Linked DNA regions of Arabidopsis thaliana. The protein of the gene in region 1 binds, or shares a complex with, the protein of each later gene. Each region holds a gene or a part of one and is shown on either strand. Other genes may lie near its edges. A codon is read from its position in the direction of its gene.

What was found.
Region 2: the proteins of HAE (region 1) and IDL1 are in contact, whole or in part, in a crystal structure (PDB 5IYV), measured with the Arabidopsis thaliana proteins. Residues at the interface, in NP_194578.1 of Arabidopsis thaliana: Glu123 (codon at 2,231), Ser147 (codon at 2,303), Gly148 (codon at 2,306), Ala171 (codon at 2,375), Gly172 (codon at 2,378), Tyr196 (codon at 2,450), Trp218 (codon at 2,516), Asn240 (codon at 2,582), Asp242 (codon at 2,588), Gln264 (codon at 2,654), Glu266 (codon at 2,660), Phe268 (codon at 2,666), Arg288 (codon at 2,726), Phe289 (codon at 2,729), Asp290 (codon at 2,732), Ser311 (codon at 2,795), Asn313 (codon at 2,801), Phe315 (codon at 2,807), Glu316 (codon at 2,810), Glu335 (codon at 2,867), Lys337 (codon at 2,873), Phe339 (codon at 2,879), Tyr359 (codon at 2,939), Asp361 (codon at 2,945), Ser363 (codon at 2,951), Tyr364 (codon at 2,954), Tyr383 (codon at 3,011), Ile385 (codon at 3,017), Arg407 (codon at 3,083), Arg409 (codon at 3,089); in NP_566774.1 of Arabidopsis thaliana: Leu67 (codon at 2,182), Val68 (codon at 2,185), Pro69 (codon at 2,188), Pro70 (codon at 2,191), Ser71 (codon at 2,194), Gly72 (codon at 2,197), Pro73 (codon at 2,200), Ser74 (codon at 2,203), Met75 (codon at 2,206), Arg76 (codon at 2,209), His77 (codon at 2,212), Asn78 (codon at 2,215).
Region 3: the proteins of HAE (region 1) and IDA are in contact, whole or in part, in a crystal structure (PDB 5IYX), measured with the Arabidopsis thaliana proteins. Residues at the interface, in NP_194578.1 of Arabidopsis thaliana: Tyr97 (codon at 2,153), Asn98 (codon at 2,156), Glu123 (codon at 2,231), Ser147 (codon at 2,303), Gly148 (codon at 2,306), Ala171 (codon at 2,375), Gly172 (codon at 2,378), Tyr196 (codon at 2,450), Trp218 (codon at 2,516), Asn240 (codon at 2,582), Asp242 (codon at 2,588), Gln264 (codon at 2,654), Glu266 (codon at 2,660), Phe268 (codon at 2,666), Arg288 (codon at 2,726), Phe289 (codon at 2,729), Asp290 (codon at 2,732), Met293 (codon at 2,741), Ser311 (codon at 2,795), Asn313 (codon at 2,801), Phe315 (codon at 2,807), Glu316 (codon at 2,810), Glu335 (codon at 2,867), Lys337 (codon at 2,873), Phe339 (codon at 2,879), Asn340 (codon at 2,882), Asp361 (codon at 2,945), Ser363 (codon at 2,951), Tyr364 (codon at 2,954), Tyr383 (codon at 3,011); in NP_564941.1 of Arabidopsis thaliana: Val57 (codon at 843), Ile59 (codon at 837), Pro60 (codon at 834), Ser62 (codon at 828), Ala63 (codon at 825), Pro64 (codon at 822), Ser65 (codon at 819), Lys66 (codon at 816), Arg67 (codon at 813), His68 (codon at 810), Asn69 (codon at 807).

Annotation. Positions count from the first base shown.
Region 1 is NC_003075.7:14,076,030-14,082,005, forward strand, and holds HAE (Leucine-rich receptor-like protein kinase family protein), read left to right. Parts: upstream 1-1,646; 5' UTR 1,647-1,864; coding exon 1,865-4,466; intron 4,467-4,538; coding exon 4,539-4,936; 3' UTR 4,937-5,428; downstream 5,429-5,976. UniProt on the Arabidopsis thaliana protein: Receptor with a dual specificity kinase activity acting on both serine/threonine- and tyrosine-containing substrates that controls floral organ abscission. May interact with the 'INFLORESCENCE DEFICIENT IN ABSCISSION' (IDA) ligands family.
Region 2 is NC_003074.8:9,336,894-9,339,952, reverse strand, and holds IDL1 (inflorescence deficient in abscission (IDA)-like 1), read left to right. Parts: upstream 1-1,877; 5' UTR 1,878-1,983; coding exon 1,984-2,244; 3' UTR 2,245-2,522; downstream 2,523-3,059. Other genes in the region: AT3G25660 (Amidase family protein), read left to right, coding at 33-146, 227-313. UniProt on the Arabidopsis thaliana protein: Involved in an ethylene-independent separation step of floral abscission. May act with RLK5 and HSL2 as ligand-receptor pairs.
Region 3 is NC_003070.9:25,829,380-25,832,521, forward strand, and holds IDA (Putative membrane lipoprotein), read right to left. Parts: upstream 1,403-3,142; 5' UTR 1,012-1,402; coding exon 778-1,011; 3' UTR 538-777; downstream 1-537. Other genes in the region: NUDX1 (nudix hydrolase 1), read left to right, coding at 1-228; AT1G68780 (RNI-like superfamily protein), read right to left, coding at 2,502-3,142. UniProt on the Arabidopsis thaliana protein: Involved in an ethylene-independent separation step of floral abscission. Promotes abscission zone (AZ) cells rounding. May act with RLK5 and HSL2 as ligand-receptor pairs.

The sequences.
Region 1 (5,976 bases):
TAATCACTCTGCAAATTCGAATGATTATATATGTTTCTTTTTTTTGTCTCTATGGTTAATTCTGATTTGAAAGAATTGCACAAGATTTTATGGGTTTCGATTTCTTTCTTTTTTGGTGTTTGCTTCCGTTGAGTTGTTTGTTCAGGTTTCAAGGTTGATATTCTGTTCTTCCATTTTTATGTTTCTGTTGCATGTCAGGATTAGCAATAAAAAACGTAAAAACCAAATAACATTTGAGTAACGAAACAAGAAATAGGAGTTTTGTAACAGAAAGGATTAAACTAAAACTCTGTCACCGTTTCCTAAGAAGATATATCATTATCAAAGTTACTTTTATTATATTGATATAGTAAAACTTTGCTAAACTAGTAAAAACTAGTTTTTCGAAAATAATCTAGATTAGAATTCTCCAAAGACGTGGCTTAATTCTAATCTGTCTAACGTATGGACCATAAAGAATTGTATTAAATTGGTCTTTGAACGAATTTATTCTTCGGCTAAAAGAGGTTATCGGTTGTGAAGTGGACCTGCAATTTCATTTGTTTGTTCATAAGAATATATGAACGAGAACTTAGGTGACCTCTATTTCATATAACTTTTACATACTGCATACTGGTAAATCATATGAAATATGGACTTTTAAAACGAAACAAAAATCACGTATAACCCTATTAGTGTATATAGAGTCTCTGTTGTGTTGAGACTCTGTTGTGTTGAGACTCTATATACACTAATAAACCCTTTTTACTTCTTTGTTCCATACGAATTAAGCTTCAGAATAACAGAATTTAAGAGAATATCGTTATTAACAGCAAAAGTCCAAAACAATTAAAAGGCAGAGTGCTTGTGGAGACGTAAAGGGAATGCAAACTAAGAAGAAGAAAAGTCATTATCGTTAGAGGACCAAAGACTTAAACATTATTGGATTAAGGTGACATCATAGTGCATAGTGCGTTGTACCATCGCGCAAACTCGTGATATTCGATCACGGATTAAAGCCATGATCTATCATTTTCTCTTCTTTCCCCCCTTAAATCTCGTTGTTTTTTCAAATCATAGTGACTGTTGCTTTTCCCATCGAAATGAAAGTAATCTAACAAAATCTACTGTTAGATCATGTTTCTCCGACCAACCAAATTTGACCTTGTCTACATATACACGTGGCTTCACAAATGCGCATCAAGCAATTGGAACTTGGAAGCATCACTATAGTTCTAAACTTCCAATTAAAAGATTGTTAGTCAATCTAGGGTTGGGATCATAGGTGGCTAAGTTTTCGGTTTAACAAATTTTCGAGATCATCGATATAAAATCATAGGATATGTCCTCATCACAATACAGTATACACACACACATAAGTGATTAAGTTATGCATTCATAACATTAATCCAGAAGCTTTATATGCAGACTCGAAAAGTCAACATAAATCCAGCATTACATGGCCCATTTGTCTCCATCATTTTGACCATCATAGCATTTCAGTTGACTTGGAGAGTGACCATTGGTCCATTCTGTTTCTTTTCAAATGAACAATTAAATGTTTGTTCATTTATCAAAAAAATATTTTTTATAAAATTACCTTATGTAATTATTCATAATCCGATTTTTTTTTAATATCACTTTACAAATTTGTTTATGATTTATATGTACAGTAGTACTTTGCTCCGTAATCGATTTCACATGGATGTATACTATTGCCTCCTAATTCTTCCAATATCGGAAAACATGTCTCACCCATGTCTTGTCACAGTGCTCGTTTCCCTTTTTGCTTCTACAATTCCTTATAATTACCAATCCATAATTTCGTTTTATTCACAAATCCAAAGCATGAAAAAAGAAGAATAACGATTCCTTTTCCAAAAAAATGCTTTATTGTCTTATTCTCCTCCTATGTCTCTCTTCTACGTATCTACCAAGTCTATCTCTAAACCAAGATGCCACCATTCTCCGGCAAGCCAAACTGGGCTTATCCGACCCGGCCCAGTCCCTATCTTCATGGTCCGACAACAACGACGTCACCCCATGCAAGTGGCTAGGCGTGAGCTGCGACGCCACGTCAAACGTTGTCTCCGTCGATCTCTCAAGCTTCATGCTCGTCGGACCTTTCCCCTCCATCCTCTGCCACCTTCCTTCTCTCCATTCCCTCTCTCTATATAATAACTCCATCAATGGCTCTCTCTCCGCCGACGACTTCGATACGTGTCACAATCTCATCAGTCTTGATTTATCGGAGAATCTATTGGTTGGATCCATCCCAAAGTCACTTCCTTTCAATCTCCCAAACCTCAAGTTCCTTGAAATCTCCGGAAACAACTTATCAGACACGATCCCGTCGAGCTTCGGAGAGTTTCGAAAGCTTGAGTCTTTAAACCTCGCCGGTAACTTCCTCTCCGGTACAATTCCCGCCTCTCTCGGTAACGTCACGACTCTTAAAGAACTCAAACTCGCTTACAATTTGTTTTCTCCGAGTCAAATCCCGAGTCAACTCGGAAACCTCACGGAGCTCCAAGTTCTCTGGCTCGCCGGCTGCAACCTCGTCGGTCCGATACCTCCGTCTCTGTCCCGGTTAACTAGTTTGGTTAACTTGGATTTGACATTTAACCAACTCACAGGATCTATCCCAAGTTGGATCACGCAGCTAAAAACCGTCGAGCAAATCGAACTATTCAACAACTCGTTCTCAGGCGAGTTACCAGAATCCATGGGTAACATGACGACGCTAAAAAGATTCGACGCGTCGATGAATAAGCTGACAGGAAAAATACCCGACAACTTGAATCTGTTAAACCTCGAGTCACTCAATCTCTTCGAGAACATGCTCGAAGGTCCTTTACCGGAGAGCATAACTCGCTCCAAAACCTTGTCAGAACTCAAGCTTTTCAACAACAGACTCACCGGAGTATTACCGAGTCAACTCGGCGCTAACTCACCGTTACAGTACGTGGACTTATCGTATAACCGATTTTCCGGCGAAATACCGGCGAATGTCTGCGGTGAAGGGAAGCTAGAGTATCTAATTCTTATAGACAATTCGTTTTCAGGAGAAATCTCTAATAATCTCGGAAAGTGTAAGAGCTTGACCCGGGTCCGATTGAGTAACAACAAGCTTTCGGGTCAAATCCCACATGGATTCTGGGGATTGCCTCGCTTGTCACTTCTCGAACTCTCTGACAATTCGTTCACCGGAAGTATTCCTAAGACGATCATCGGCGCGAAGAATCTATCGAACCTACGAATCTCAAAGAATCGATTTTCAGGTTCAATCCCCAACGAAATCGGATCGCTTAACGGAATAATCGAGATTTCCGGAGCGGAGAATGATTTCTCCGGTGAGATTCCTGAAAGCTTGGTGAAATTGAAGCAATTGAGCAGGCTTGATCTCAGTAAGAATCAACTCTCCGGTGAGATTCCTAGAGAACTTCGTGGTTGGAAGAATCTAAACGAGCTTAATTTGGCTAATAATCATCTCTCCGGTGAAATCCCTAAAGAAGTCGGAATCTTACCTGTTCTCAATTACCTTGACCTTTCAAGCAATCAATTCTCCGGTGAGATTCCGTTGGAGTTACAGAATCTGAAGCTAAACGTTTTAAACCTTTCGTATAATCACCTCTCCGGTAAAATCCCTCCTCTCTACGCTAATAAAATCTACGCACATGACTTCATCGGAAATCCCGGTTTATGTGTTGATCTCGACGGCCTTTGTCGGAAGATCACACGGTCTAAAAACATCGGCTATGTATGGATTCTTTTAACGATTTTCTTACTCGCCGGTTTGGTTTTCGTTGTCGGGATCGTTATGTTCATTGCCAAGTGTAGAAAACTCAGAGCTTTGAAGAGTTCTACTTTAGCAGCGTCGAAATGGAGATCATTCCACAAGCTTCATTTCAGTGAGCACGAGATAGCTGATTGTCTCGATGAAAAGAACGTAATCGGGTTTGGATCTTCTGGTAAAGTCTATAAAGTTGAGCTTAGAGGTGGAGAAGTTGTAGCTGTGAAGAAACTTAACAAAAGTGTTAAAGGAGGAGATGATGAATACAGTAGTGATTCGTTGAATAGAGATGTTTTTGCAGCGGAGGTTGAAACGTTGGGGACGATTAGGCACAAGAGTATTGTGCGTTTGTGGTGTTGTTGCAGCTCTGGTGATTGTAAGTTGTTGGTGTATGAGTACATGCCTAATGGGAGCTTAGCTGATGTGTTGCATGGTGACCGCAAAGGCGGTGTTGTGTTGGGTTGGCCAGAGCGGTTGAGGATTGCTTTGGACGCTGCCGAGGGTTTATCATACTTGCACCATGATTGTGTTCCTCCCATTGTGCACCGCGATGTGAAGTCGAGTAACATACTGCTAGATAGCGATTATGGGGCTAAAGTTGCTGACTTTGGGATCGCTAAAGTCGGTCAGATGAGTGGTTCCAAAACTCCAGAAGCTATGTCCGGGATCGCCGGTTCTTGTGGTTACATTGCACCAGGTATAAACCAAAACATATTTCAGCTGCATTTTGTAACTTTTGATCTTATATTAATAGTTTTCAATTTTGCAGAATACGTATACACACTTCGGGTGAATGAAAAGAGCGATATCTACAGCTTTGGTGTGGTGCTTTTGGAACTGGTTACAGGGAAGCAACCAACTGATTCAGAACTTGGAGATAAAGATATGGCAAAATGGGTGTGCACTGCACTTGACAAATGCGGTTTAGAACCCGTGATCGATCCCAAACTCGATCTCAAGTTCAAAGAAGAAATTAGTAAAGTCATTCACATTGGTCTACTCTGTACGAGTCCTCTCCCTCTAAACAGACCTTCCATGAGAAAAGTTGTGATCATGCTTCAAGAAGTCTCTGGTGCTGTTCCTTGTAGCAGTCCAAACACATCTAAACGATCTAAAACCGGTGGGAAACTCTCGCCTTACTACACGGAAGACTTGAACAGCGTTTGAACATTCCAATATGGGCTGAGAATCGGTTTGGGCCGGGGATAGCAATTTGATGTTATGATGCTAGGTGAACTGTAAGAAAGATATCAAAAACAGAAAAGTGGAGCTTTCTGATTAGGTAATTGCTCTTAAAGCTAATATAAAGTTATAATTTGGATATTAATTTTAATTTAACGCAATATTTGCAATATTTGGTGGTTGGTCCACCCAATAGCCAACCTTATTTAAACTCGAGCTCGTTACCAGTTCAATTTTGGAAAACGGATCGATTCTGACGAGTGATGATCAATATTTTTTTTTCTAATTTTTTTTTCATATTCTTATAAAGTAAAACTTAGTGTGGTAATACTAATGCCATTATAAAAAGTAAATTCTAAATAGCCAAGCATAGACAGCATATGTCAGTATAATGTGGTTAGATAGATTTCTTGAATGACACCTTGCCGCGGTTTCGATCCACCAATGAAAACAACAAGCTAACCACAAAATTTTCCAACAGACACAGAAGTGTAACATTTGTTCATAATTTTTTGTTTAGTTTGATAATAAATTAAGAATAGGTTGTATAACATGTGTTTAGAGTTAACAGGGGAGAGCAGAAACAAAAATCAGAAAACAAAGAGAAAAAATAAATAAAGGTTGAGGAGGTTCCTTGTTAATGTTATGCATGAGAAGTCTACGTGAAGAAATAGAATAATGACTAGCTTTTTAACTTTCCATTTTTTTTCTTTTTTTTTCTTTTTCTTTTTATCTATCTAAAAACCAATATTATAATGTTTTCTAACGTATATCACTAATATCAGTATGTGATTTCAGTAAAATTTATGTACATACAGTAATATACTGATGATGGAGATGTTAAATATGTGTAAATTATAAGTATAAGTTTATGTATAATATCTTTACATACACTCTAGGGTGACATTGGACCTTAACTTCTCTTTCTTATTTTTTGTTCTACCATATCACGTCTGAGCTCTCACAGACCAGCAACAACACCTTGCCCCAAACTTACTCCATCTCATATTCATTTTCAAATCCTA
Region 2 (3,059 bases), on another chromosome or scaffold:
ACATAGTTTGTATCATATGAGGTTTGTTGCAGGTCAATGTGAATCTTGCCGGACTTCCTGCAATGGTATTACCTTGTGGATTAGTCGAAGGTGGTCCCTCGGGTCTTCCTGTTGGTCTTCAAATGATCGGAGCAGCGTTTGATGAGGTTTGTTATAAACTCTGTCTCTTTGCTTACTCTAAAAGATTAGATTAAGATTCACATGATGATTTGTTGATTGGTTTTAGGAGAAATTGCTGAAAGTGGGTCACATATTTGAGCAGACTCTTAAAGGATCGAGCTTTGTTCCTCCATTGTTAGCCAATGTAGCCTAACCATGTAACCACCAAGGCTCTTTTTGCGTTTACATTTCATGCTTGGTTTAAGCAACGGATTTATCAATTGTAATTGTACTTCAATTCTTTTATAATATAAATGTAGATACACCCCATGGGCCACATACGTATTCTTTCTTCTTCTTCTTCTTGGTCTCTATGCTCTTATTTGGTACTCCTAAATGGGGATGGTTTTTTTCTTTTATTCGTTTTTGATTTATTGGTCCTTGGCCCTTGCCATTGCATTCATGCACTTGATTATTGTTGAGTATCATGATTGATTAACACAATTTTTAAATATGTATATTTTGTTATAAATCTTGAGTAAATAAACTAAAAAATTGTATCAACTGAAAAGAAGTCCTTGCCATTGCATTCATGCACATGATTATTATTAATTATGGTTGTATCATGATTGATTAACACAATATTTAAATTTGTATATTTTGTTATAAATCTTGAGTAAGTAAACTTAAAATTTGTCCACTAGTACCAACACAAATCTTAATAAATGGTCAAAAGCATTACACGTTTCAAATAGATTATTGGCATTTTATAAAATGAAACTCTGGTGCTAGAGTATAAGTATAGACTACTTTAAAATTTCTAGAATAATTCTGAAGAAATCATATGTTATTACCTATAATTATGCAAACATATTAAAATCTCAGAAATCTAGTGGTCCAGACGAATATCTGTCTCCAGTGGACGATCAAAATCCAACGGATCATGCGTGTGCATGGTTTGACATTTACGTCTACTCCGTGAAAGTTGTCACATGAATATATAAACACATTAACCTATGAAAAGAGATTTTTGTTGGACGAAATGTTATGTTAGTTGTTATAACAGAACAAAATTATGTGCTGATAAATAATTTAAATATTAGGTGCCACAAATAATTTGCAGGTGAATAATTAACTATTAAATATGATAAATTAATTGTTTGGTAACCCCTAATAACGGAAATAATTTCTTTAAACAAAACTTGTTTATTTGGCCTATGGACTATACATGGTGGTTAGCTTCAAACTATTTACGCAAGTCCTTCTCAAGAGATCATGTTAAAAAGCTACAAGAAAAAGGAAAATAGAATTTACTTTTCTTTCAAAATCGAAGACCAAATGATTTGATAGTCATTGGCACCTAACTTTGGACTAAACAATCACGTACGCATTGTTCTTTTGTTCACACATAATGTGTATATAATATACAAAGTCTACAACAACGTGATTCTCTTACAAAAATTTAAATTTTACACACATAATTGATGATGAAATTATATTTTACACAATATAATACCAATAATGTTTGATAATTAAATTTTGACAGACAACTAGAGGTAATCACACGTACGTACACCATCGTCCAACGCGGCATTTCAAGTCTTTTATTCACTATCGTAGTATCGTTGACCTTTTAATATTATCACAAAATACTAACATTCCATTACTTGCGCTTCACTTCTTTATTTTTCTTTTGCTTTTCTTGTTTGACCAATCATACAAGAATGTGCATACTTTCATACATGATATATCATATATATACACGCTCATATATACATCTCAAAACTTAAACCGCCTTCTTAAAATCCAAAATTTATAAAACCCTAGCTAATAGCTAAATTAGTGTCTCCTCCTCCTTATTCTTCTTCTTTCTCCGAACATTATATGAATCTTTCTCATAAAACCATGTTTATGACTCTTTATATTGTTTTCCTCTTGATTTTTGGTTCATACAACGCCACGGCAAGGATCGGACCGATTAAGCTTTCTGAAACGGAAATAGTTCAAACAAGATCAAGACAAGAGATCATTGGGGGTTTTACATTCAAAGGTCGTGTGTTCCATTCATTTTCTAAAAGGGTACTTGTACCACCTTCGGGACCTTCCATGAGACATAATTCTGTGGTGAATAATCTCAAACACTAACTGTTTTTTTTTTCTTTTGGTTTAATTTCAATCTCTTAGGATTTGCTTCAAAAATTTTTTGACAATTACATGAAATTGTATTTCGAAAAGATTCTTAAAGTTGTATTTAATGAGTTCATTCACATTTGTAATATCTCGGTTGGAACGTTATACGTATGTATATAGACTATATCTTTCATTATTTGTTATGGGAACAAAAATTCAAATTGATAATGAACAAGACAATTTCTATTCACAAGCTATGGAATTTGCGAATTGTAGAAATCTCTCAGCAGTAATATAGATCCATTGGGATTGCATAAGTGAACTGCATGAGCCCATTTGCGGCCTGCGTCTATTCGTATGAGATGGGCTTCTTTAAGTTTGGCCTAATAATAATAAAAATTCAAAGAATTCACCAGACAGCTCCTCGTAGTGAGCTTCTCAGCCAAATCTCGCTCAACACTCATCATCTTCATGCATGTACTCTACATCCTCACTCATCAGTTGACTCAAAATCAAATAATCAAATCACTAGAAGCAAGTTTGGAATCAGTTACCCTTCAAAGTGAAACGCTTCTCATCAAACCTTCTGATGATTTCAGGGATCTGAAACACCAAAACATTTATGTAATCTTTATCAACCAAAGCAATGAACAACACATGAGAACCAAAGCAATGAACAACACATGAGGACCAAAACATATACGTAATCATGTTGGAGTCTGCTACAAATAGCTTTACAGGGAAGAAACAAAGCATGAATTAGTACATTGACTCTTTTGGATCAAAATGGATGGTACATATCTTGTGATTTATAATTTTTAGCTTGTTAC
Region 3 (3,142 bases), on another chromosome or scaffold:
GTTACAAACAATGTCTTCAAAGAAGCACCAACGCCATCACACTACGTCTCTGTTTCGATACGTGCGGTGTTGGTGGATCCAAGTCAAGAACCGAAGAATATGGAACCAGAGAAGTGTGAAGGATGGGATTGGTATGATTGGGAGAATCTACCAAAGCCTTTGTTTTGGCCACTTGAGAAATTGTTTGGAAGTGGTTTCAATCCTTTCACTCATGGTGGTGGAGACTAATAGATGTAAGAGTTAATGATTGATTTGGGATTGAATGTTGCAAATTGGGCATTTGGTCTAGTGGTATGATTCTCGCTTAGGGTGCGAGAGGTCCCGAGTTCAATTCTCGGAATGCCCCTCTCTTTTACTCTTTTTTATTGTATTTTTGGTTTCTGTTTTCCTAATTAGTAATAAACTTATCATGTGTCCTATCGATTTTATTTCTCTATGTTTGATTATTACGTTCTTAAGTCTTAACTCAAACATTGACCTATTTGAGAAAGACGAATGATATAACTTACAAGTTGCATAAAAACATATGTTTGATTAGCGTATGATGAGTGAGGTCTATGGAATATTCTTTAGTAGAAGGCTAACAAAGCTTAATCGATTTCTTGATCTTTATATGGCCGTAATGACCTTAAACATATATTAAGTCTATAAACATAAAAAGGAACAAATTCAAAAGTAAATATAAATCGTATGCATATACAAAGAGTATAATACCCTATGTTGATCTAATCTACAAAACCAAACCTAAAAGAATACAATGAATAAAATAAAATGAAATCAATGAGGAAGAGAGTTAACAAAAGAGTTGTGTCTCTTAGAAGGAGCAGAAGGAGGAATGGGAACGCCTTTAGGTAAGTAACCAAAAATATGGCTGTTTTTAAACGTTAATCTCTTTATATTCTTCTTCATCTCCATGGTGGCTCCAATTCTTGCAGCCGCTACACAAGAACTACTCGCCGCGAGAAACAGAACAAAACAGAGCAGAACCATCATCGTACGACACGGAGCCATTTGGTAGTCAATGTTTTTTTTCTTCTCTTTTTCTAATTTTTTCACTTCCACTTCTTTGAGTAAATGAATGAAGGGTCTTATGAATGAAATGAATAATGTGTATGTATGTGACTATGTGTTATATTTATAACATGTGTGTGTGTGGATTTGATTGGAAATAAGTGTGGCGGAAATGAGGGGGAAGTCGGGGAATGGTAAGAGTGGAGTGAATCCCACGCTATTGAGACTTTGAATTTTCCTTATTATTTTATAAGAATTCTAAAGTTTTCAAAGGTTTGAGTTTTTCTCGTTGTTTTAGTCACCGCCTTCGACTTTTATTTTCCTTTGTATTTTTCTATAGAAGTCCATTTTATGCTAGGAAATGGGAATCTGGTTTGATGGGATGGTCGTTTTTTTCAAGATTTCATCATATATGTACAAGTACGTTGACGGGAAGAAGAATAATTAATGGTTTTATAGGCATCGTCACCATGAGCTATCTTTTGTTTTCTTTTGCATTATTCAACTTTCAACAGTAACTATATCACAAGATGTATGAATAGTAAAGCAAGATTAGTTTTCGAAATTCGAACTCAAATATCAGACATGACTCATGAGCTTTCTTTAAGCACACAATATATCATATATGTCGTGCAGAAAGAAAATTAGATATCATCCTTGGACGAATGACGAAAGTGGTAGACAATACACGTATGTATAGTAAAAGGATTAGACTAAATGATAACATGTCGTAGGTTAATCATGATACGGAATAAATAATAATTTAGTTAAACGAATATACACATAAAATATACTGAAAAATGCATGCATAAAACACGTAAAAACAATGTATACCAACTCTATCTTTTGCGTGAGAAGGTATTTTAAGAAATTAAAGAGAGAACAAAAAGTAGCTTGGAGGGTTGACTCAGTTATACACAATTTTACAACTTGACAAGTGGCTTTCCATGATTCACATTTTTCTTTAAATTATGCCAAATTTGATTTGGATATCCACCTGATTTCTGCATCTATATCGGACTTAGTCACGGATTATTATTTTTACCTAAATAGAATTTTTTATATTTCCTTTATGAAATGCCAAAATAAAATAAAGTTCCAACATACCTCCTACGATTAGACATGTCGCATAAAATCATACAATTCTTCTAATTTGATGGAAACAGGTAGATCTTTACATATACTAAAAAAAAACAAATTTTAACTAGGTAAGAACCGACCGTATCATACATTGAATCATTGATACACAGTAAATTTAAACTAGGTAAGTCTGTTATTTAATTTTATGATTGTATGATCTAAAAAAAAAATACTTGGAAGTTTTTCTAATGAACTTCGAGATATCAAAACTATATTTTGTAAATACGCTAAATAATTTAAAACAAAATAATGCTATAGAAATAAGATGCAATAACAAAATTGAAAAGACCACAGCTTTGTATCATTCCAAGTTTTTGTTATCACAAACCCTTTGATTCAGAACGAGGGTTCTAATATTTATCTGCCTTAATTCTCTTACATTGGTTCACTCCGAAAGGAACATGATCGCTAAGGTTCTTGGTCTCATCTCCGTTGTAACACAGATTAGGGTTCCCCCAAACACCAAGTCTCCTTCCCATTCTCTCATAAAAGTACCTAGAGAATTCCAACTCTCCGCTGATGTTATTTCCATTCACGTAAAGCGCGCTGAGACTAGGCATTTCGGTTTCCATTTGTGGAATGAGTTTGCCTCCGAGATTGTTGTTGCTCAAACCCAAAAACCTCAGTTTCTTGAGCTCCAAGATTGAACCAGGAATCTCCCCTTTTAAGCCTGTGTTGGAGAGATCAAGAACCACTAAATTCTTCAGATTTCTCCACTTTATTCCTGTCAAGTCCCCGGCTAGGCGATTATTGGACAGAACCAGTTCTACCAAAGAAGTCATCTCTTGGATCTCTTTACTCAACCCACCTGATAATCTGTTGTTTCTCAAGTCCAATAGAGTGAGATTCTTCAAGGACTCTAGCTCTCTAGGTAACTTTCCTTCCAAGTAATTGTTACTAAGATCAAGTTTCAGCAGAGAATACAATCCTCCAACGCTTAAAGGCAACGCCCCAGATAAGAAATTCCTGCTCACATCCAATATCAACAATC